Linked DNA regions of Pelodiscus sinensis. The protein of the gene in region 1 purifies or fractionates together with the protein of each later gene. This does not show direct contact. Links are inferred from orthologs where the notes say so. Each region holds a gene or a part of one and is shown in the gene's direction. Other genes may lie near its edges.

Region 1 (9,860 bases):
AGAAATTTGGCATTGGTTAGGTCATCTCCATGTTATGAATTTAGATCTGGTATTTTAATCAGATAACTATTTGGGACATACAAAATGAATTAGGTGCAGTTCACTCTTCAGTGGACAAGAGGTCTGAGTCTATGTCCCTGAAATCATTGCTTCAGTTGTGTATTCAACATTGGATGTAGAGTCTGATCTACCTTCACATATCTTTCTTGTAGGTTCTGATACAAGAGTGAGGAAAGAGAATGCGGGAAACTCACTACTGTTGTTAAAAGTTTAACAGATACCTTGGGTTAGGAGCAGATTTTCATTTTGGCACTGATCAGAAACCACTTACTTTTTTTTTTTTTTTTTTTTAACACTTCAGCTTTCTTTCCAGACTCTGGATGACCATAGCTAAACAATGTCTGGACTACGTGGAGCTGTTCATGCAAAATGGATAGTAGGAAAAGTAATAGGAACTAAAATGCATAAAACTGCTAAAGTGAGAGTGACAAGGCTTGTGCTGGATCCTTATTTATTAAAGGTAATATCTTGCAAGATCATTTTCGTATACACTATTGGAATATATATTGACGCTCTGAAATACATTGTAAATTGTTTACATTGTCAGATAATTAATAATCATTGATGAACTATGATTACAAGAGTAAAAAACAGTGTTAGAACATAAAATTTGACATGTCAAATTATCTATTAAATGTATTTCCTTCAGTTATTCTGCTTAACACACATTTTGATCTGAGTTGGGTAGATGGACTGCTGATTTTGTGCTATGAATTTGAAAAGTCTTTTTAAAATATTTATAAGTTTCTGGGCTTTTGCTCCATTTTAAAAGGTGGAAGTTATAAAAAAAATTTTATAACGATAGTCAAATAATTGCCTACTATATCGATTTCCTGGTCACTTTGAATAATTAATTGAAGAAATATTCTTTAGCATTTGAATCACTGTATCAGTTGAACATCAGTCAGTGATACAGTAATCTCACTGTAAGATAAGCCTCCCTCAGTTATTATTAAAGACTAGAGTCAGGATTTTATTCAGTTCTGCATTTTATAAGATAAATGTGCTCATATGGAAGATATTGGTGCAACACTAATACCACAGTGGTAGGACTTCTGTGTATTGGAAGGGGCTTTTCTGAAATTTGGCCTGTCTACATGGGGCCAAATTTAGGAAAAAAGTCCTCTTTTGGAACATCCCTTATTCCTCTCACCAAGAGGAATATAGGGATGCCAAAAGAACGCACCTGCTTTTTCGGAAACTGTTCCAAAAAAGCAGATGCGTTCCCTGGACACATGCGTTCCCAGAGGTATCCCAGAAAAACTGCAGTCTAGACATAGCCTTACATACAGGAAGCCTTCACCATTTAGGATTTTGCTAACTGTGGTTTTGCATATTCAAGGTGCACTGCACCGCACCAGCGCTAGCACATGATGCAGTGTGATGACGCTTCTTCAGTGTACTCTAGTAAAGGAGCCTGAAAGTTAAAAGGGAAATGGAAGTTGCAGTGATACAGTACTAGGAAATTTTAGATATTACATGTGTTTATTAATTCATGATTATTGTTTTATGTGGAAATTGTGATTATTTTGTGTCATGAACTTCCCCCTGGTATTCACATGTTTGCCATTCGCTGTGATTTTAAGAACATATCCCCTGTGAATTAGGGGTGTTAAGATATGGTTAATAAAAATTCTATTGACTACTTGATTAGTCAGTAAGGGAAGACAGCCTTGCTTGTGCCGGGTCTGGGACCTACCCCCTCTTCATGGTAGGTCCTGGACCCAGCACAAGCCAGGACTGAGCCAGGCAGAGGTTCAAGGGGACAGGGGCTGCTGTCAGAGCAGCTTCTGTCTGCAGCCAGCCTGGGCCACGATGGACAGGGACTGCTTTTAAGTTGGCTTCTCCCAGCACCAGCTCCTGCTTCCCCCACTTGCTGCCTTTGATACTGAGGCAGTGGGGGGGGGGGGGGGGGGAAGGGTTGTGAGTGTTGACTAAACTAACCCATAAGCCTAAAATAGCCTAGAAAAGTCAAGTAACCCATAAGTGTTCATGACTGAGCCAAGCCCCAATGTGGGGGTGGGGGAAGTGTGTGTAGTCTATAACCAATTAACCAATAAACAAAAGCTTATAGGTTAATGGTAATCAACTACATTGTTACATTACATTATTAGTAGACTAGTTGACTACTCGCTTACATTCCTACTGTGAATGGTGAAGGCTTCCTGTAATTTCCTGAGCTCTTCCCCTCTACAGTTTGTGCAAATTATTAAGAGATTTGGAAGAGCCTTGACAGTCATTTTGCTGAATGTAATGCATGCAAGGGACTGAGATGATAAAACAGTGGTAACTAGCACTCAAAAGTAGTACTAAATCAGGGTTAGTGAATAATCAAAGTTGTTAAGGTAGCTATAAAGAACTGGCCCCAACTTGCCTTGATCTGACTTAGGACAAAAGTCCTATCTTGGGTGAAGAAGGGCTAATGTCACATTTGCCCAGTTCTTCAGGTGTACCATATACATTTACCAATGGCTTTGCTTGGGAAAAAACTCAGTGAGCTCAGCTATGCAGATCTATTGGCTTTGATAGTGAAACCTTCAATTCAATCAACTTAAGTTCAAAAGCAAAATGGTCATCTTACTTTTGAGTCTTAATGCCTGGATTTCCTTTTCTCCAACAGTTCTTTAACAAGCGAAAAACTTATTTCGCTCATGATCCATTGCAGCAGTGTGCAGTCGGAGACATTGTTCTTCTAAAAGCTTTGCCTGAGCGGAGGACCAAAAATGTGAAACATGAACTGGCTGAGATTGTTTTCAAGGTTGGAAATGTCATAGACCCAGTGACTGGAAAGGCCTGTGCAGGAACTAGGTTCCTGGAAAGTCTAACAGATTCAGAAAGTCTAACTGAGGCAGATACCACCTATCTAAGTGAAAAACTTCAAGAGCTAAATGTTTCCTCAACAGAGAAATGAAGGGTGGGAAGAGACCAGTAAACTAAGGGCTTTAACTTTCATCTTTACATGAGGGATTGGTTGTGGCCCACTGTCTCTATGTAAAATCTTTCTATGAATTTGTTAGAAACAATAAACTGTATTACTTCCACCATTGAAATGATATAGCTATTTTAATATTGTGGGAAATTATCAATTAGAAATAACTATGTTTTGAATTTTCTCCACATTAAGCCCTATGGTAGTGGTGGGTTTTTTTTTCTTTTTCTTAACACACAGTTTTGCCCCAGTTTTAGCAAGAATGTCAAAATTGCCACCTTAATCACAAAATTAAGAATAATGAAGAGTCCTATAGCACCTTGGACATATTTATTAGGGCATAAGATTTCATGGGTAAAACCCACTTCATCAGATGAACTGGAATGGAGTTAAAGATTTTACATATTGGAGTTAGTCTGTAAGGTGCCACAGGACTCAGTTGTTTTTGCAGATACAGACTTAACGTGGCTAAAATTGTTCTTTATTAAAATGTTTAAGAGGATAAATCTATATATGTTTAATATTTGTGGGAGCATGTTTTTTTCCCTCCTGTTTGACTGTCTGAATTCTGAACCTAAATCTGCTGTGGTTCATAGCCTTATATTTAAAATAACAAATTAAAAAGTGTTTTTAAAAAGTGTGTAGAAATTCTATAGGCAGCTGTTTATGCATGATATTTCATTTTAATATTTGTGATACTAGACTAACAGTAAGCCTACTAGAACATTTCATAAACCTTGTGTGTAATGTAATAGAATCTATGTGCATTTAAGCCACCTGTTATAAACTTTTATCTGCTTTTATCACAAGCCATGCTAAAGGAAGGGTTCCCATGTGAAACTGACACATGGCTACAGTGAAACAGTGGCATAGCTTGGCAAAGTCTGAAGGGACATAATCCAGCATCCCATGAGGTCAAAGAGGAATGGGAAGGAAATGAAAGTTTTTTTTTATTATTATTCACTTTTATGAGAGCTCTTAAATAATAGATGGGGTAACATCCATATTTGAGAAGGGGATGCGATTCTTCTCAATTCAGATATCTACATTTTCCCTTATGAAGCTGTGTGTCCAGCACAAACATAAGGATATATCTGTTTTACTGTGTCTAAGTATTGTTCTGCAAATAGGAAAAATTTAAAAACATGAATATTAGAAAAATCCCATGATGTAATGCAAAAGAGTTGAAGTAAAGTTGTCTGGAATATTAATTTCTTAAGAAAATGTAATTAGGGAAATCCTGCAAAGAGATGCAAGAACAGAGTCTCCAAAAGTTATAGCAAAAAGTATGTAGTTCAGAGTAGTTAAGGATTACACTTGCCTTTGTTGCCTGGATTCTGGGCAACTGCCACTATAGCACTGCATAAATTTAGAGTAGGTCTGGTGCTTGTGACATCCTCTCCCATCCCCAAAACACATGTTGTGCAAGGGATAGCGTAAGACCACATATGACACTCTTGCATAGAAGTCAGGCCCAGAGTTGGGGGAAGGAATCTGTTCCATCACTCACTGACTGTTCAAATGAGTATATGAGAGTACCTGCACTCATCACTTTGCAGGGTTAGGATTTCAGCCTGAACTTCTAGAGAATCAGTCTCCGTGGATGAGGTGCTACTGATAAAGCAAGACTTGGGAACAGCTCCTCCTCAGGAATATGAAATTATTTGTGCCTCTTTCTATTCTAGCACAGGTGGTTAAAGTCCTGCCTGTCTTAATTTATTTGCTTTCCTTCCCTGCAAGGAATACATTCACTTTATATTCAAGTTTACATGTGTCTCTCTGCAGTGTGTGTTAATTCCAAATCATCTTATACAGATGTCTTAACTTCACACTGAAGATATATTCCAATTCTGGTTCTCTTCTCCAGGAGGAAAAAAAAGAAATTGTCATTGACTACCAAGTCAAACCAATATTGTTTTGATCACTGAAAATGACAGTGAGTTTTGCCAGTTACTTCAGTATATTACTAGAACAAGTTTGTATGTTAATATCTGCACCTACAGGGTTTCCAACAGGAGCACACCAGGGAAAAAAAAGCATTCTAATTTCCAGTAAGTTGTTGGAGTGGTAACAAGTTACAGATAGATGTACACATATTTCATGTTCAGAGTTCTCACACATTCCATGAAAGGAACAACAGTGTAAAGAGCAGCCAACAATTACACTGTAAGCTTTCATAGTACACACAGTTGTGTTTTTTGTCTTACAGACTAGAGACCATGGTAACTAATGATAGCATGTAAAACCTTAGGCCCTGTGATTACAAACACATAAGCAGTTGAGCATAGGCAAAGTATTGCCCTTATTTTACAGAGGAGAAAACTAGCAAAGAAAGGTGAAAGGGCTTGCCAAGGCTGGCAGCTAGTAGTGGCAGAGCTGAGGGCAGCCCTGGGTCTCTATGCAGGTAAATATTTCTTCCCTGACACGTTGATGAGGACACAGAATTATTACCCTGTGAGGGGGAGAGAAAGAGACACACACTGGTAGCTTTATCCCCAAGAGAGGAAGACAGGCAGTGGCATCAGCCTCCAGGGACTTGCAGTGGGTGGGTTAAAATAGGTTTTAAGAGATGTGCAGGTGCAAATGGGGCTCCCCTCCGCCGCCTGACGGCGCAGGTGCCTGGCTCGTGGGATGTGGGCTGGACCCGCAGGCACGCGGGGGCCGAGCCCGGCAGCCAAGGGGTTAAGAGTCGGGTGGGAGGGGGCTGCTCCCCCTCGCAGTGCCAGGCCCCCTGGTGGCCGCCGGCGGGTACTGCAGGCTCGTCTCCTTCGCCCAGGCCGGGGCGCGCTGGACTGAGAGGCCGGAGCAAGATGGCGACCCGAGTGCTGCTGCGGCGGAGCCTGGGGGGAGCCGGCGGGCTGGGCAGGGCCGGGCCTCGCCTCCCGGCCCGCGGCGGCCTGGCCCTCAGGTGAGCGCGGCAGCCCCGGGGCCCGGCCCTCGCGGGCTGTAAGTGGAGCCGCGGGGGCGGGGGCGGGAAAGTCTCAGCCCCGAGTAAGCGCCCCTCGCCCGGGGTCTCCCTCAAGGTCATGGGCCTCGCCGCGCCCCCAGGGGCCGCCCGCGGGCAGCCCCCCCGCATTGTCCTCGTACCCCGCCCGCACTGGGGGCTCCCCCCGCAGCCTGCGTTCGACCCCCTGCAGCGCAGGCCTCCCGCCATCTGCGCCAGGGCCCCGCTGCCCCAACGCCCCCGGGGGACCCGCCCCGCTGAGCCCGGCTGGAATGGACCCGTGCAGCCTGGGTTATGTTGTACGTGCCCCAGCTTTCATGTGTGTTTAGAACAGGAATCAAAGCCTGTCGGCTGGATTGCAGTGACTGCTCCGTTCAGCATTTTCTCTTTCCGGGGAAACGCCATCAGGGCAGCTAGTTAGGATTTGTCCTAACATTGAATCTAGGTTGTGGACTAAAAGAAAACTTGGTGGATGGTAATATGTCCCTGTGTCTTGAATCCCATTTAAATCAATATTTTCAGCTGCCTGCTGTAGCACTGAGGTAGTATATGAGAACAGAAAGGTGAAATTGATTAGAAACTGATTAGTCTTTTATTATTTTTTAATATAAGGGTAATGCCAGAAGCAAAACAGTGAAAACTAAACTTTGCTTTTTAAAAATTTCAATTTTCCTTTCAGTAACAGGGTACCAATGATGCTTCCAAAATAAGGAAATGTGTTTTGTTGAATTGTTTTAAAGTAATAGTGTCCCATTGAAATCTTGGGCATCAATGATCTTTCTTTCTTTCTTTCTTTCTTTCTTTCTTTCTTTCTTTCTTTCTTTCTTTCTCTACAAGAGTCACTAACAGTTTGAAATATGTACACACATTGGCTGATCACTTTTTCTCTTTACAACCCAGTCTGGATGTACAATTGTATATAGAACAATTGTTTACGTAGCAGATGCAGTTGTAGGTCTAGTTCCTGCCAACACACACATGCGTTTCTCTAAGTACTCTAAATTTGTGGGATTGGGACCATAACCAGTAAAGTCAGGCTGTGCCTTAAAGAAAAGGATTGAAAATGATTCCGTGATAGGTTGCCTGTAATGCTGTGAGAAACATGGCTCCCAGAAAACCAAAAATATTATGCTGTTGGAAACCCCATATACCTATCCTTTATCTATGATGTAACATTTTCTTACCCTGTGTTACAATTTAGTTTTTACAATTTAGATACATTCCCAAACAGTAAGGGTCAGGCTGGAAATAAGGTATAAATGTTTTACCATTAGAGTAACAACTGGAACAATTTACTAAGGGTCATGGTGGATTCTTTATCACTGACAATTCTTAGATAGCAGCGAGGAGTCCTGTGGCACCTTAGAGACTAACTGAAGTGTAGGAGCATAAGCTTTTGTTGGCAAAGATCCACGAAAGCTTATGCTCCTACACTTCAGTTAGTCTCTAAGGTGCCACAGGACTCCTCGCCGCTTTTGCAGATTCAGACTAACACGGCTACCCCTCTAATTCTTAGATAAAAATTTGATGTTTTTCTACAAGAAATCTAGGAATTATTTTGAGAGAGTTCTGTGGCCTCTGTTATACAGGATCTCAGATTAGATCATCACAGTGGTCTTTTCTGGTCTTGGAATCTAAGAGTCTGTTAGTCCAGTGGTTCCCAATTGCCAGTCCGTAGACCAGTGGTTCCCAATTGCTGGTCCATGGACCAGCACAGGTGCCGGAGCAGCCATGGTGGCTGAGGCGGAACTGGAGGAGCCTCCCTTCCTCCTTCTTCCTCCCCCCTCCCTGCTTGGGGGGGAAGAGGGGGTACAAAGGAGGAGGGAGCATGTGCACAACCAGCGGCCGCTTCCCCTGCCTGCGCAGCTGCTTTTGCCAACTTTTGCTGGGGCTCAGGAGGCAGAACAGAGGGTGTCCCCCAACACCTTTGGTAATGGCAGCCGGCCAGAGCTCTGCACCCCCCTCCCCCCATTCTACCCATGGGGGCGCAAGGTGCACTTGGGGAGGGAGAGGGCGTGAAGGAGGAGGGAGAGCATGCACTGGCAACGGCCGCTCTCCCTGCCTACGCAGCAGTAATAGCAATGCTCGATAGGTGGGCATGGGGGCAAAGATCAAAGGGGTGTTGGGTGAGGGCATGGTGGTGTTACAAGGCAAGAGGGTATTGGCATGGGTTGTAGGGGTCAGAGGTTAAGGGATTAAAGGGTGTTAAGCACTGGGGAGCAAGGGGCTGGGTTGGAGATCAGTGGACAGGTAATATTTTATTTGCATATTCATTATTTGCATAATGAAAAAAGTTTGTGAATGGGTTTGCTGGTCTGCAGCATAAAAAAGGTTGGGAACCACTGTGTTAGACTGGAGTATTCTTCCAAATGAGATGTATAAAGCACTTAAGTTCTACTGTAGGGAATGTTTCTGAACTAATAAAAAGATTAGAGTAGAATAAAATGTTGCGAATGCTCCTTAGCAAGTGTATAGTAACACTTTATTAATCCATGTTCTTAAAGTTCTTTGAAGTTCTTGGATTAAAAGTATCATGCAATTGCAAAGTATTATTAAGGTCACCATTTCATTAAGAAATTAAGAGAAAACTATCTCCTTCTTTTATGTGGCAAACAACAAAGTTGTAAGTCTATCCTACTAGCAGAGAACTTGGTTATCCAATAGTATCCCATACCCATCATGTCTTTTCTGCTGTAGTGGTAATGTTCACAAATGAGAAAGTAAACATGATTACTGGGGACTTTCATTGTCAGAATGCTTTACAAACAGCTAACTCTCATGACACCTTTCAGGGAAGGTAAGTTCTTATCAGCCCCTATAGTAGATAGATAGATGGCCTGACTTACAGTGGTATTCTGAGCCTTTTTGCGTTGGCAATGGGATACAAAAGGATTACCGATCAACTACTTCAGAGGGTTAGCCGAGTTAGTCTGTAACAGGAAAAACTTAAAAAACAACAAATAGTCTAGTAGCACCTTAAAGACTAATAAAACATGTAGATGGTATCATGAGCTTTCGTGGGCACAATCCACTTCTTCAGATGACAGGTTAGCTCTGCCTGCCATGCAGTATTCCTGGCACAGAAGATCCTTGTAAATATTTTTGGTCAGTAGTATTCTGCTTAGTTTTCTGTGCAGTAGTGTGTTTGAATGGGGTCAGAGATAAGTAGTTTTCATGGAGTGGAACAGCGAGAGATTTTCTTTTTTGTGTGGAAGGTCACCTCATTCCCAGCTATCTTTTCTTAGCTGTCACATGGGTCTTCTGCCTCCTTCAGCATGTTGCTTGGTTATGCCAGGGGTTCTCAGACTTGTGATACCATGATCTCCCCCCCTCTCAGTTGCTCGCGACCCCCCTCCCCATTACTGCAACCAGCCTCTGAGTTGCTCGTGACCCCTGAGGGGTCGGGAACCACAGTTTGAGAAATGCTGGGTTAAGCAATATAAACCACCACAATATTTTATGCCCCAATATTATTTCTGGAATATTTTCAGTCTTTTGGGGACTTAAAAGATAATTTCACAGTTGGAAGTTGTAATCTCTCCTATGGCTTTCCTAGCCAATAACTAACATCCCCGAGAATAAAGTAATTTAAAGTCCTTCCACAATCTTCCAAGAAAAGGGGAGAAGCTTCAAGCAAATACTTCTAATGGGGATTGGGAAGAAGAAAAATACTATAAGATCCAGGCTACCTTTGTACATTATAAAAAAGAAGCATTAAACAATAGGCTCTTTTCAGGTTGCTGTTGCTTGCTGTTCATTTTAATACAAGATTTTTCATATTGGCGTAAATAAAGCTAGAGTATATCATATGGTAGCTTTGTGGTCTTTTCAACACTTAAAAAAACCCAAAACACTAATGTATTCTTTAAGAAAAACCATGTTGTCTATTGTGATTTTTATTGTAAGGACGTAGAAAATAGCAGTTTT
Region 2 (10,931 bases), on another chromosome or scaffold:
CCTTGCAGCTATTCCATTGGTTACATTTTCCTCTTATGCGTAAGAGTATCTACAATGTCAGGACAGCGAGCAAGCACACATCAGGCACAGAGCAAAGTGAGTGCAGCTAGAGAGGTACAACTATACCAAGCCCAACGGCTTCCGTTCAGATTCTACCTGTATCTTTCCACACAATTAACCAAAGCAAAGGGGTGTGATTTTTTTTCATACTTACGAGGTGCCAGATTGCAAAAATGGAATGCGGACCCCGTCCACCACCACGATATTCTTCACACCATTTTTGGCTAAGGTTTTCTTACTTTTGGGCTGGACTGTTTGAAGAGAATATGTAAACAGCTACTGACTAGAATCTGAGCAAGTCTGGAGCAAGATTTTATTTACAAAATAAATACTACTAGAATCAAAGAACACTACAGATCAGTGTTTCTTAAACTGTGTTTCCTGGCACACAGGTGTGCCGCGGAGAACAACAGAGTTCAAAATGGCCACTCTTAAAGGGGCAGGCAACCTTTTTTGTCCCCTCAACAACTTCCCCCCTCCCCCCCAAAAAATCCTTGGTGTGCCTCATAAAAAAATTGTTTGGTGTTTCTCGGTCTTAAAAAGTTTAAGAAACACTGCTATAGATGGAAGGGACCTCCAGAGGTCATCAAGTCCAGTCCCCTGCCCTCGTGGCAGGACCAAGCACTGTCTAGATACTGCACAGAGTGTCGACAACTGACACCTGAGGAGCACACAATGGCCCCTTGCCTGAGGAAAGAAACTGGTTTGTGGGTCATGTGATCAGCACATTTTGGGAGGCACCAGCATCCAGGAAAAGATTATAAAAATACCATGAGGGCGCCTCCATCTTGTCTTCAATCCTGCTCCTGATTCCAGAAGCACCTTTGCTATGAAGAGAGGGCCAGGAACTATTTGCTGACCTATCCTGACACAGGATGCACTCGGGACTTTTAAGCTGGCAGTTTGTTACATCTCTGCTAAGAGCCTGCATCAAAAACTTGGTGATCGATGTCTGAAATGTATTCTCCTTAATCTCACTATCAACCTTTTTTTTTTTTAATTAATAAACCTTTAGATTTTTAGATTCTAAGGGATTGGCATAGCAGGCTCTTTTGGGTAAAAGCCGAGGTATAAACTGACTGGGGACTGTGACTGGTTCTTTGGGACTTGGAGAACGTGTTCGGAGTTGCTGAGATTGGGTTTTATAACCTCTCGCCAGTATAAAGTGTGGGTCTGGTTGTGGCACAGGGAATACTGATGTGTCTAAGGGGGTTTGCTCATGGGGCTTCTTACTGGCCAGAGTGGCAGCTGAAGTGCTCTGTGTGACTGGTTTGGTGCCTTATAGGGAAGGACCCCAGTCTCGGCCTGTAAGTAGCCTTGGTTTTGAGCAATTCACCCTGCTTTGTCACTCTCAGTGGTACCCAGACCAACCTGTTATATTACAGCCTGGGCTAGGTATGAGGAGGCACCTAGCATTGAAGTTTTAGTGCATTCACTTTACCTGTGGCTTGGGACAGAGGCGAGCAACTGAAGGGTCTTGCTGCTAAAACACAAAACACAGAGTCAGAACAACTACTGAACAAAAAAGTTGCCTATAATACTTAAAAATGTGTAATAATAGTAAGAAAAATGTAGACAAGTAACCTATGGAAACTGCACATACAGAAAAAAATGTTGTATGCATTGCGTATAGCCAGTTTGTGGAGTTTTGCACAGCAACAAGGAAAAAAACACTTTAAAACAGGAAAAGTGGTCATAAAAATCATAAAATGGCAAGGAGACTTGGGTGCCGGTGGCACCCATGAATCTACTTCTAACCTCTTTTTTAAAAACAGCAAAATGACAGCGTTCTTTTACATGGCATTGACTTAATTTTTTAACAAGAACAACACTTACAGAATCTGAAAGCCCACGCAGAGGTAGCAGGGAGGCGTCTGATAGCACGGCTCAACATGGAAGTCATTTTGAAATCTAGAATAGTGCAGGAGAGGAAGGACAGCAATTAACTTGTTCAGAGGTTTCAGAATGGGCAAGCTAGCCAGTCCACATGCAGCCAAAGGCAATGGAGATAGAGAAGACCCATCAAGGTCAACCCAGTATCCACTGGGGGAGGGACTTTTTGTGGTGTTTGAGCTGTGCCTAACACTGGAGCTTTAGGCCTGACTAATACAAGTAAATAGTGACTCATTCCTCTTCTAGGATCAGGGCTGTTCAGTATGTTCCAAGGGGTCCTGGACAGACACATTTTAAAATGCCCCCCCACAGACGCCACAACAGCTGGAACTTGCTGTGGGGTTGTTCCTGCTGGCACCCAGCCTTTACTCAAGCTCATCTCTGTCCCGATCAGTCACCCACCACAGGCGCCAGCCGACCTGGGGAACCACCCCGGGATTCAATAGATGCAAGTGCCTGGGCCAGCAGGGATCTCTGCCCCCTGAGCCCTCCTGGGGATCAGCTCCAGGGTGAGAGCACAGGCCACCCCTGCCCACAGCTTCACCCAGCCCCTTACAGCCCCTAGGCTCACCTCTCCTGCAGCCAGGCCCCGCCTCATTCAGCCCCCCCACAGCCCTGCCCCTCCTGCAGCCAGGTCCCGCCTCCTTCAACCCTCTGCCCCTCCTGCAGCTAGGCCCCACCTCCTTCAGCCCTCTGCCCCTCACAGCCCTACCACTCCTACAGCCAGGCCCCGCCTCCTTCAGCCCCCCCACAGCCCTGCCCCTCCTGCAGCCAGGTCCCGCCTCCTTCAACCCTCTGCCCCTCACAGCCCTGCCCCTCCTACAGCCAGGCCCCGCCTCCTTCAGCCCCCAGCAGCCCTACCCCTCCTGCAGCCAGGCCCCACCTCCTTCAGCCCCTCACAGCCCTACCCCTCCTGCAGCCAGGCCCCGCCTCCTTCAGCCCCCCCACAGCCCTGCCCCTCCTGCAGCCAGGTCCCGCCTCCTTCAACCCTCTGCCCCTCACAGCGCTGCCCCTCCTACAGCCAGGCCCCGCCTCCTTCAGCCCCCAGCAGCCCTACCCCTCCTGCAGCCAGGCCCCACCTCCTTCAGCCCCTCACAGCCCTACCCCTCCTGCAGCCAGGCCCCGCCTCCTTCAGCCCCCTGCCTCTCAGAGCTCCACCCCTCCTACTGCCAGGCCCCACCTCCTTCAGCCCTCTACCCCTCACAGCCCTACCCCTCCTGCAGCCAGGCCCCACCTCCTTCACCCCTCTGCCGCTCACAGCCCTACCCCTCCTGCAGCCAGGCCCGCCTCCTTCAGCCCCCTACCCCTCACAGCCCTGCCCCTTCTGCAGCCAGGCCCCGCCTCCTTCAGCCCCCCCCACAGCCCTGCCCCTCCTGCAGCCAGGTCCCGCCTCCTTTAACCCTCTGCCCCTCCTGCAGCTAGGCCCCACCTCCTTCAGCCCTCTGCCCCTCACAGCCCTACCCCTCCTGCAGCCAGGTCCCGCCTCCTTCAACCCTCTGCCCCTCACAGCCCTGCCCCTCCTACAGCCAGGCCCCGCCTCCTTCAGCCCCCAGCAGCCCTACCCCTCCTGCAGCCAGGCCCCACCTCCTTCAGCCCCTCACAGCCCTACCCCTCCTGCAGCCAGGCCCCGCCTCCTTCAGCCCCCTACCCCTCACAGCCCCGCCCCTTCTGTAGCCAGGCCCCGCCTCCTTCAGCCCCCTACCCCTCACAGCCCCGCCCCTCCTACAGCCAGGCCCCGCCTCCTTCAGCCCCCTACCCCTCACAGCCCCGCCCCTCCTACAGCCAGGCCCCGCCTCCTTCAGCCCCCTGCCCCTCACAGCCCTGCCCCTCCTACAGCCAGGCCCCGCCTCCTTCAGCCCCCTACCCCTCACAGCCCCGCCCCTTCTGCAGCCAGGCCCCGCCTCCTTCAGCCCCCTACCCCTCACAGCCCCGCCCCTTCTGCAGCCAGGCCCCGCCTCCTTCAGCCCCCTACCCCTCACAGCCCCGCCCCTTCTGCAGCCAGGCCCCGCCTCCTTCGGCCCCCTGCCCCTCACAGCCCCGCCCCTCCTGCAGCCAGGCCCCGCCTCCTTCAGCCCCCTACCCCTCACAGCCCCGCCCCTCCTGCAGCCAGGCCCCGCCTCCTTCAGCCCCCTGCCCCTCACAGCCCCGCCCCTCCTGCAGCCAGGCCCCGCCTCCTTCAGCCCCCTGCCCCTCACAGCCCCGCCCCTCCTGCAGCCAGGCCCCGCCTCCTTCGGCCCCCTACCCCTCACAGCCCTGCCCCTTCTGCAGCCAGGCCCCGCCTCCTTCAGCCCCCCCCACAGCCCTGCCCCTCCTGCAGCCAGGCCCCGCCTCCTTCAGCCCCCTGCCCCTCACAGCCCTGCCCCTCCTGCAGCCAGGCCCCGCCTCCTTCAGCCCCCTGCCCCTCACAGCCCTGCCCCTCCTACAGCCAGGCCCCGCCTCCTTCAACCCCCTACCCCTCACAGCCCCGCCCCTCCTGCAGCCAGGCCCCGCCTCCTTCAGCCCCCTGCCCCTCACAGCCCTGCCCCTCCTGCAGCCAGGCCCCGCCTCCTTCAGCCCCCTGCCCCTCACAGCCCTGCCCCTCCTGCAGCCAGGCCCCGCCTCCTTCAGCCCCCTACCCCTCACAGCCCCGCCCCTCCTGCAGCCAGGCCCCGCCTCCTTCAGCCCCCTGCCCCTCACAGCCCCGCCCCTCCTGCAGCCAGGCCCCGCCTCCTTCAGCCCCCTGCCCCTCACAGCCCCGCCCCTCCTGCAGCCAGGCCCCGCCTCCTTCAACCCCCTACCCCTCACAGCCCCGCCCCTCCTGCAGCCAGGCCCCGCCTCCTTCAGCCCCCTGCCCCTCACAGCCCCGCCCCTCCTGCAGCCAGGCCCCGCCTCCTTCAGCCCCCTGCCCCTCACAGCCCCGCCCCTCCTGCAGCCAGGCCCCGCCTCCTTCGGCCCCCTACCCCTCACAGCCCTGCCCCTTCTGCAGCCAGGCCCCGCCTCCTTCAGCCCCCCCCACAGCCCTGCCCCTCCTGCAGCCAGGCCCCGCCTCCTTCAGCCCCCTGCCCCTCACAGCCCTGCCCCTCCTGCAGCCAGGCCCCGCCTCCTTCAGCCCCCTGCCCCTCACAGCCCCGCCCCTCCTGCAGCCAGGCCCCGCCTCCTTCAGCCCCCTGCCCCCCACAGCCCTGCCCCTCCTACAGCCAGGCCCCGCCTCCTTCAACCCCCTACCCCTCACAGCCCCGCCCCTCCTGCAGCCAGGCCCCGCCTCCTTCAGCCCCCTGCCCCTCACAGCCCCGCCCCTCCTGCAGCCAGGCCCCGCCTCCTTCAGCCCCCTGCCCCTCACAGCCCCGCCCCTTCTGCAGCCAGGCCCCGCCTCCTTCAACCCCCTGCCCCTCACAGCCCTGCCCCTCCTGCAGCCAGGCCCCGCCTCCTTCAGCCCCCTGCCCCTCACAGCCCCGCCCCTTCTGCAGCCAGGCCCCGCCTCCTTCAACCCCCTGCCCCTCACAGCCCTGCCCCTCCTGCAGCCAGGCCCCGCCTCCTTCAGCCCCCTGCCCCTCACAGCCCCGCCCCTCCTGCAGCCAGGCCCCGCCTCCTTCAGCCCCCTGCCCCTCACAGCCCCGCCCCTCCTGCAGCCAGGCCCCGCCTCCTTCAACCCCCTACCCCTCACAGCCCCGCCCCTCCTGCAGCCAGGCCCCGCCTCCTTCAGCCCCCTGCCCCTCACAGCCCCGCCCCTCCTGCAGCCAGGCCCCGCCTCCTTCAGCCCCCTGCCCCTCACAGCCCTGCCCCTCCTGCAGCCAGGCCCCGCCTCCTTCAGCCCCCCCCCCACGTAGTCCCCCGTCCCCGGCAGCGCCTCCCCCTCCAGCCACCTGCAGCGATCCCCTCCCCCACGCGGGGCGGGGCGGGGCCACGCGCCAGGGACCCGCAGGGCTCGCGCCGCGGCCGTTACCGTCGCTACGCGGTGGCGGCCCCGCTCGCTGCCCTGGGCGGTGCCTGCCTCAGGAAAGCCCCCGCCGGCCCTGCCGTAGCTGCCCTCGCCGGTGCCTGAAGGCAGCCCGCCCCGCGCCGCGCCTGGGCTGGGCGAGCCAATCAGGCAGCGCCGCGGGCAGCCCTGGGGGGTGCGAAGGCCCCGCGCCTCAAGGACCCGCCCCGCCGCCGCTTCGACCTCCCCGAGCAAGATGGCGGCCGCGGTGCGCGCGATCGGGAGCCTCACGCGCTTCACGGCCGCCGCCAAGTACTGCGCGGCCCGCCGCCTCGGTGAGGGGCTGGGCCGGGGGGGGGGGCGCGCTGCCGAGCCCCGCCCCGCCCCGGCTCGCCGTGCTGCGCTCCCCGCCGAGTGCCTGTCTGGGGCCGCCGGCCGGGCGGGGCTGGCAGCAGGAGCCCGGGGAGCTCAGCGCGGGGCCTGGCCACACGCAGCAGCCCGGCCCGCCAGCAGTCGGGTCACAGGGGTTCTGGCTCTGCCGCGGCCCTGGCTCCCGGCTCCCGGACCCCGGCCCCCCCGGCCCCCCCGGCTCCCGGCCCCCCCGGCTCCCCCGGCTCCCGGCCCCCCCGGCTCCCGGCCACCCTGGCCCCCCCGGCCCCCAGCATCCCCGGCCGCCCCGGCCCCCCCGGCTCCCGGCCCCCCCGGCCACCCCGGCCCCCCCGGCCCCCGGCCACCCTGGCTCCCGGCCGCCCCGGCCACCCTGGCCCCCAGCCACCCTGGCTCCCGGCACACGCCTGCTGCGGCAACAAGCTCTCCCCAGGCGGCTATCCCACCTCCCCCAAACCCCTGGCCTGGGGCTCTCAGGTTGTGCTGCTGCTCCCTGTTCATTTCCCGGGGCGGGTGATGAATGTTAGTGACTAGCGGAGATCATTTGCAGTTAATGGATTTGATGCGGGAAGGTGGCTGTGGCAGTGTGCTCGTAGAGCTCTCCCAGTGCTCTAGATGAACAGCCTCTATGCTTGGGGCATAGTTCCCAGTGCTGGGAGCCTGTTTACACCCACACTTCACAGCGCTGTAACTTGCTGTGCTCGGGAGATGCTTTGTCACACCCCTGAACAAGAAAGTTACAGCTCAGTGACCTGACAGCCTGGTAGCACAGCAGTATAGACAAGCCGTTAGTCTGACTGCTTTCAGTCAAGTCACAGGAATGATTTGACATCTGATCAGAGTTTGTTGGTTTGTGGAATTAAGTGGGCTCTTAATTCAGTGACCCAGTCCTTCTCCTGCAGTTGTCATTCGTCTGGTCCTTTCTTTTTCTGCTCAGCAGAGGTGCCCCAGGCACTGAGCTCCCCATATTCCTGCGGTGAGGGTTTCCTTCTGCGAATGCACAGCTAGAGAGCTGGGTTCTCCTCTGAATTTACACTTGTAACTGTCAGAATGATACACGATTGTACACACCATGGTAAGAACATAAGAATGGCTGTACTGGGTCAGACCAAAGGTCCATCTAGCCCACTAGCCTGGTGTCTGTAGTTCCTTGTTTTCAGGATTCGCACTAGGGATATAATAGTGCAGTTGATTAACTGATTATCTGATAAGCAAAAGCTTATAAGTTAATGCCATAGACTACACGCATTTCCTTCCCCTCACCAGGCAGGGGCTGCTGCCACCCTGCGCTGTTGCCTCTGTATCAGAGGCAGGAACACAGGGCGACAGGCTGGTTTTTAAACTGGCTCTCCTCGTGGACCGGCTCCCCCCGACACCCCACGTAGAGTGGCAGGGGGACTCCTCAGGAGTGGGGCTGAAGTGCACTGGCTTCCAGCCCTGCCCCCTAGGGACTCTAGAATAGTCGGCTAACTGATAAGGATTCATGAGGTTACTCAACTATTCAATTAACCAATATTGAACACCCTCACTTTGGCTGACAGTGCCCTCCCTTGAAAGTATGTGTTGGTTGGACCCCCAGTTCCTCAGAGTTGATAGCAGTCTGCCTGGAATAGTCTTTTGTTCTTCATGCCCCTGAATCAGTGTTTGGCAAACTTTGGGGTGGTTTTTTTGCGGGGGGGATGGGCAAGTACTTGCAGTGGCAGGGCAAAAACTGAGGCCAAGAGCAGCGCATATGAGGAAAGTTCCATGGTTTTGGGGCCACCCCTGTTGCACACATTCCCACAGCTGCTAGTAAAACAGGCACCGATTGAAAGTCTGTCTTGCACCACTTGCAGCTCCTTGTTCAGCTCACAGGTGTAGGGAGGAAACATGGGCCATCCCAAGCATTTCTTTTCTGCTCCCTTGATGTTCAGCTTAGTTCCAGATCACGAGCCCTGGCACTACGGAGCCACCTATGGATGCTGCTGTTCCCACCTCAAGCAGCATGCAGTCTCCTGGTGAGTCAGGGAGCAGGGAGAGGAGCACAGAAAGAGACCAAGAGTGGAGAAAATGGGGCAGCTGTGTCATGGTGTGGGGGAGTGTCCTCCCTCGGCACACCAGCCAACATTGGGAGCCGCTCCCCTCAGCGAAAGTTCTGTGAGCTAAACACTGGCCTAATAATACTTTGCCCTTATAGTGCTTTCTGCCTAGTGGTTTTCAAGGTGGGCAACTTCCCTGCCTCCATCTCCCATCTATAAACATCCAGTTCTGTTCTGCAAAATAATAGCGCCACATAGTTCCTGTTGATCATTTTACAAGTGAGTGAGTATTTCTTCTGGTCTCTAAGTGCCTAAGTCCAGCTGGGGGTGTTCCTCTGCATTCATTCTCACCAGGAGTAGTTTTGATTAAATTTTGTCTTCAGTAACTCGTGCATCCCCCTTTGTGATGCTTAAATTCATTAATGTCTGTCACATTTTTGGTAACCAATAATGGAAAGCGCTAGAGAAGTGCAAAGTATCACAGAGGCTGTAATCAGTTACCTTCCAAAATTAGTTTATTGTAAAAACAAGCTATTGCAAAACCCAGTGAGTAAATATTTAATTATTCTTTTTTAAAGACTTGAAACAGTTTTTAACCCTTTTCCCCTGCAGTGTTGGAAATCTATTTAAAAGTGGAATTTACTACAATCTATCAACAGAAATGAAACTGACTAATCTCTTTTCATTGCCCTATAAAACATAAGTCATGAACAGTAAATCTCGTTTAAGTCTTTTAGTTCCAGTATAATGGTGAAAACCATAAGGCGGCCTGCTGGTGTTCTGTTTAAAAAGTACGAGAGGGTTTTTTCTGTAATCTTCATTTGTAGAAATTCATGCTGCTAGTTGTACATGATTGGCTCCTGAAAGTAGCAGTGCTATTATTGTAAACTGCCTCTAAGCCACTTTGTATTGTCGCTGTGTTTTGAGCCTGGTTATTGTTTTCCAAGCCTGCTCTGGCCTGTGCAACTTGATAAAGCCAAATTTTCCAGGATAACGTGCATCAAAAGTATGTCACTCCTTTTGCATATTTATTTCTAGGCTGCCAAAACGTTTAAGTGTCTTGGGAGAACAGCAGTGACAAGGTCCCTGACCCAGAGTTGCAATCTAAATAGTGTGCAGGCAGGGGCAGCTCGTGAGCCTAGGCGAGCTAGGCAGCTGCCTAGGGCGCCGCTGGCCCGGGTGTCCGATGATGACATCACGGCCATTGACGGCTGTATAGGCGGGGCGCCAATCGCGCCGCCCCGCCTAGGGCGCCAGCTGCTGCAGTCGGCCTCAGGCCGCTCCTGTGTGCAGGCAAAGGAAGGGGGAGGGTTAGCACGTTTTGTCCCAGGTTATTAGCACCCTTTTTAGCTTTGTGCACGGTTCATCTGTTTTCTTGAAAGTGGTTGTAGAGACCAGGATTTATAGGACTTCCCAGAAAGTCTTTAAGGAGAACTTAAGAAAAAAAAGCTTGTTAGACCATGGAACTTGGGGTGGGGTGTGTGTGTGTGAATGTAGCCCATGAGTTACTTGCATAACTTCATGAAATAAGAGTCTGTATCTTTCAGAAGGTAGGCCTGTTCGGTGAAGTCTGGAGTATTGTTGGCATATGCACAGGGCTCGACGAATCACTGAATCTACTCGCCTGTGGCGAGTAGATTTCAGCCAGTCGCAGCATTCACCGGCGGCGCGCACATGCGCAATGCGGGTCTTGCTCATGCACAGTGCAGGGCTGGCGAGTAGGTTTTGCCGCCGTTTGTCAAGCCCTGCAAATGCAAATCCTTTTTCTACATCTAAAAGCACAGCTGTTAGTGACTTGTGCCGCACTCCCCAGACTTCGCTATACTCTGCCTGTGACTGCAGGGGCGGGCAGAGTTGGGGAAGCTACCAGTGGTGGTCTTGTAATTTAGTCTCAGCTATTCATCTCCTGCACTGTGATGTGCTGTTTTACTCCAAAGGACAAGCTGGATCACCTTATTCCTGGCCTCCAGACTTAATTGCTGCAGCAGTTGCGGGGGTGCTGGCAATGCGAGCACTGTATTTTGTGGTCATCACATGTGGCTGGCTGGCGGCCTGGTGGTTGGAAGCCTAGGCCCTCTGGAGGCCAGACTCGTAGGGCTGTCAAAGATTTCACATGGGGTTTGTAATCCAGGTCTCAAAGTTGGTCGAAAATCCTCTTAAATACCGGCCTGGCCAGCGAGACCAGGAGGTGAACTTCTGTGTAAGAAGTTGCCGAGGGTCCGTTGCCCGCACCGCCTCGGAAGGGAGCTGGACTGCGACACACGTGGTCCGTTCTCCCAAAGCCGATGACTTGGCTTGCGTCCCTGGGCGTGTGGCAGTGCAGGGCAAAGGTCTGTCTCTCCCTCGCCTGAAGAGATCAGTCAGAAATGTAGGGCAAAGTGCACGGCGCAGCTCTGAGCCAAGATGACGTGGCTGAGGGTAGGGGACACGTGCTGCTTTGCCAAGGAAGCGAAGTGCGGGGTGCCTGATGAATCCCTGACTGACCCTGCTCGCTGGTTAGAGAGCCATTCCCCTCTAGGGGTTGTCTCGGGCTAGGCATGGCCTGCCTCCTGGGTCGGCACCCCCGCTAAATCATTGTAGGACTTGTAATCTAATGGCTGGTGCTGCCCACATACCCGCCGGGGATGCATCGCTGCTTTGACTCAGGCTGCCACAGGCATGGGGGGAGCAGCCGCTGG

The links. Proteins that work in one complex are often made in the same cells at the same time.
Region 2: the proteins of NIPSNAP2 (region 1) and HADHA purify together in Homo sapiens (affinity purification with mass spectrometry; 3 studies listed by BioGRID and IntAct, with this or other methods). This does not show direct contact. The link is inferred for Pelodiscus sinensis from reciprocal best matches to the Homo sapiens genes NIPSNAP2 and HADHA.

Annotation. Positions count from the first base shown.
Region 1 is NC_134731.1:20,285,995-20,295,854, reverse strand, and holds the start of NIPSNAP2 (protein NipSnap homolog 2), read left to right. Parts: upstream 1-5,732; 5' UTR 5,733-5,799; coding exon 5,800-5,897; intron 5,898-9,860. Other genes in the region: MRPS17 (small ribosomal subunit protein uS17m), read left to right, coding at 398-520, 2,681-2,971. UniProt on the Homo sapiens protein: Protein involved in mitophagy by facilitating recruitment of the autophagy machinery required for clearance of damaged mitochondria.
Region 2 is NW_027465862.1:357,504-368,434, forward strand, and holds the start of HADHA (trifunctional enzyme subunit alpha, mitochondrial), read left to right. Parts: upstream 1-6,037; 5' UTR 6,038-6,104; coding exon 6,105-6,183; intron 6,184-8,174; exon of another isoform or gene 8,175-8,189; coding exon of another isoform or gene 8,190-8,232; intron 8,233-10,931. Other genes in the region: HADHB (trifunctional enzyme subunit beta, mitochondrial), read right to left, coding at 215-311, 1,502-1,543, 1,897-1,963. UniProt on the Homo sapiens protein: Mitochondrial trifunctional enzyme catalyzes the last three of the four reactions of the mitochondrial beta-oxidation pathway.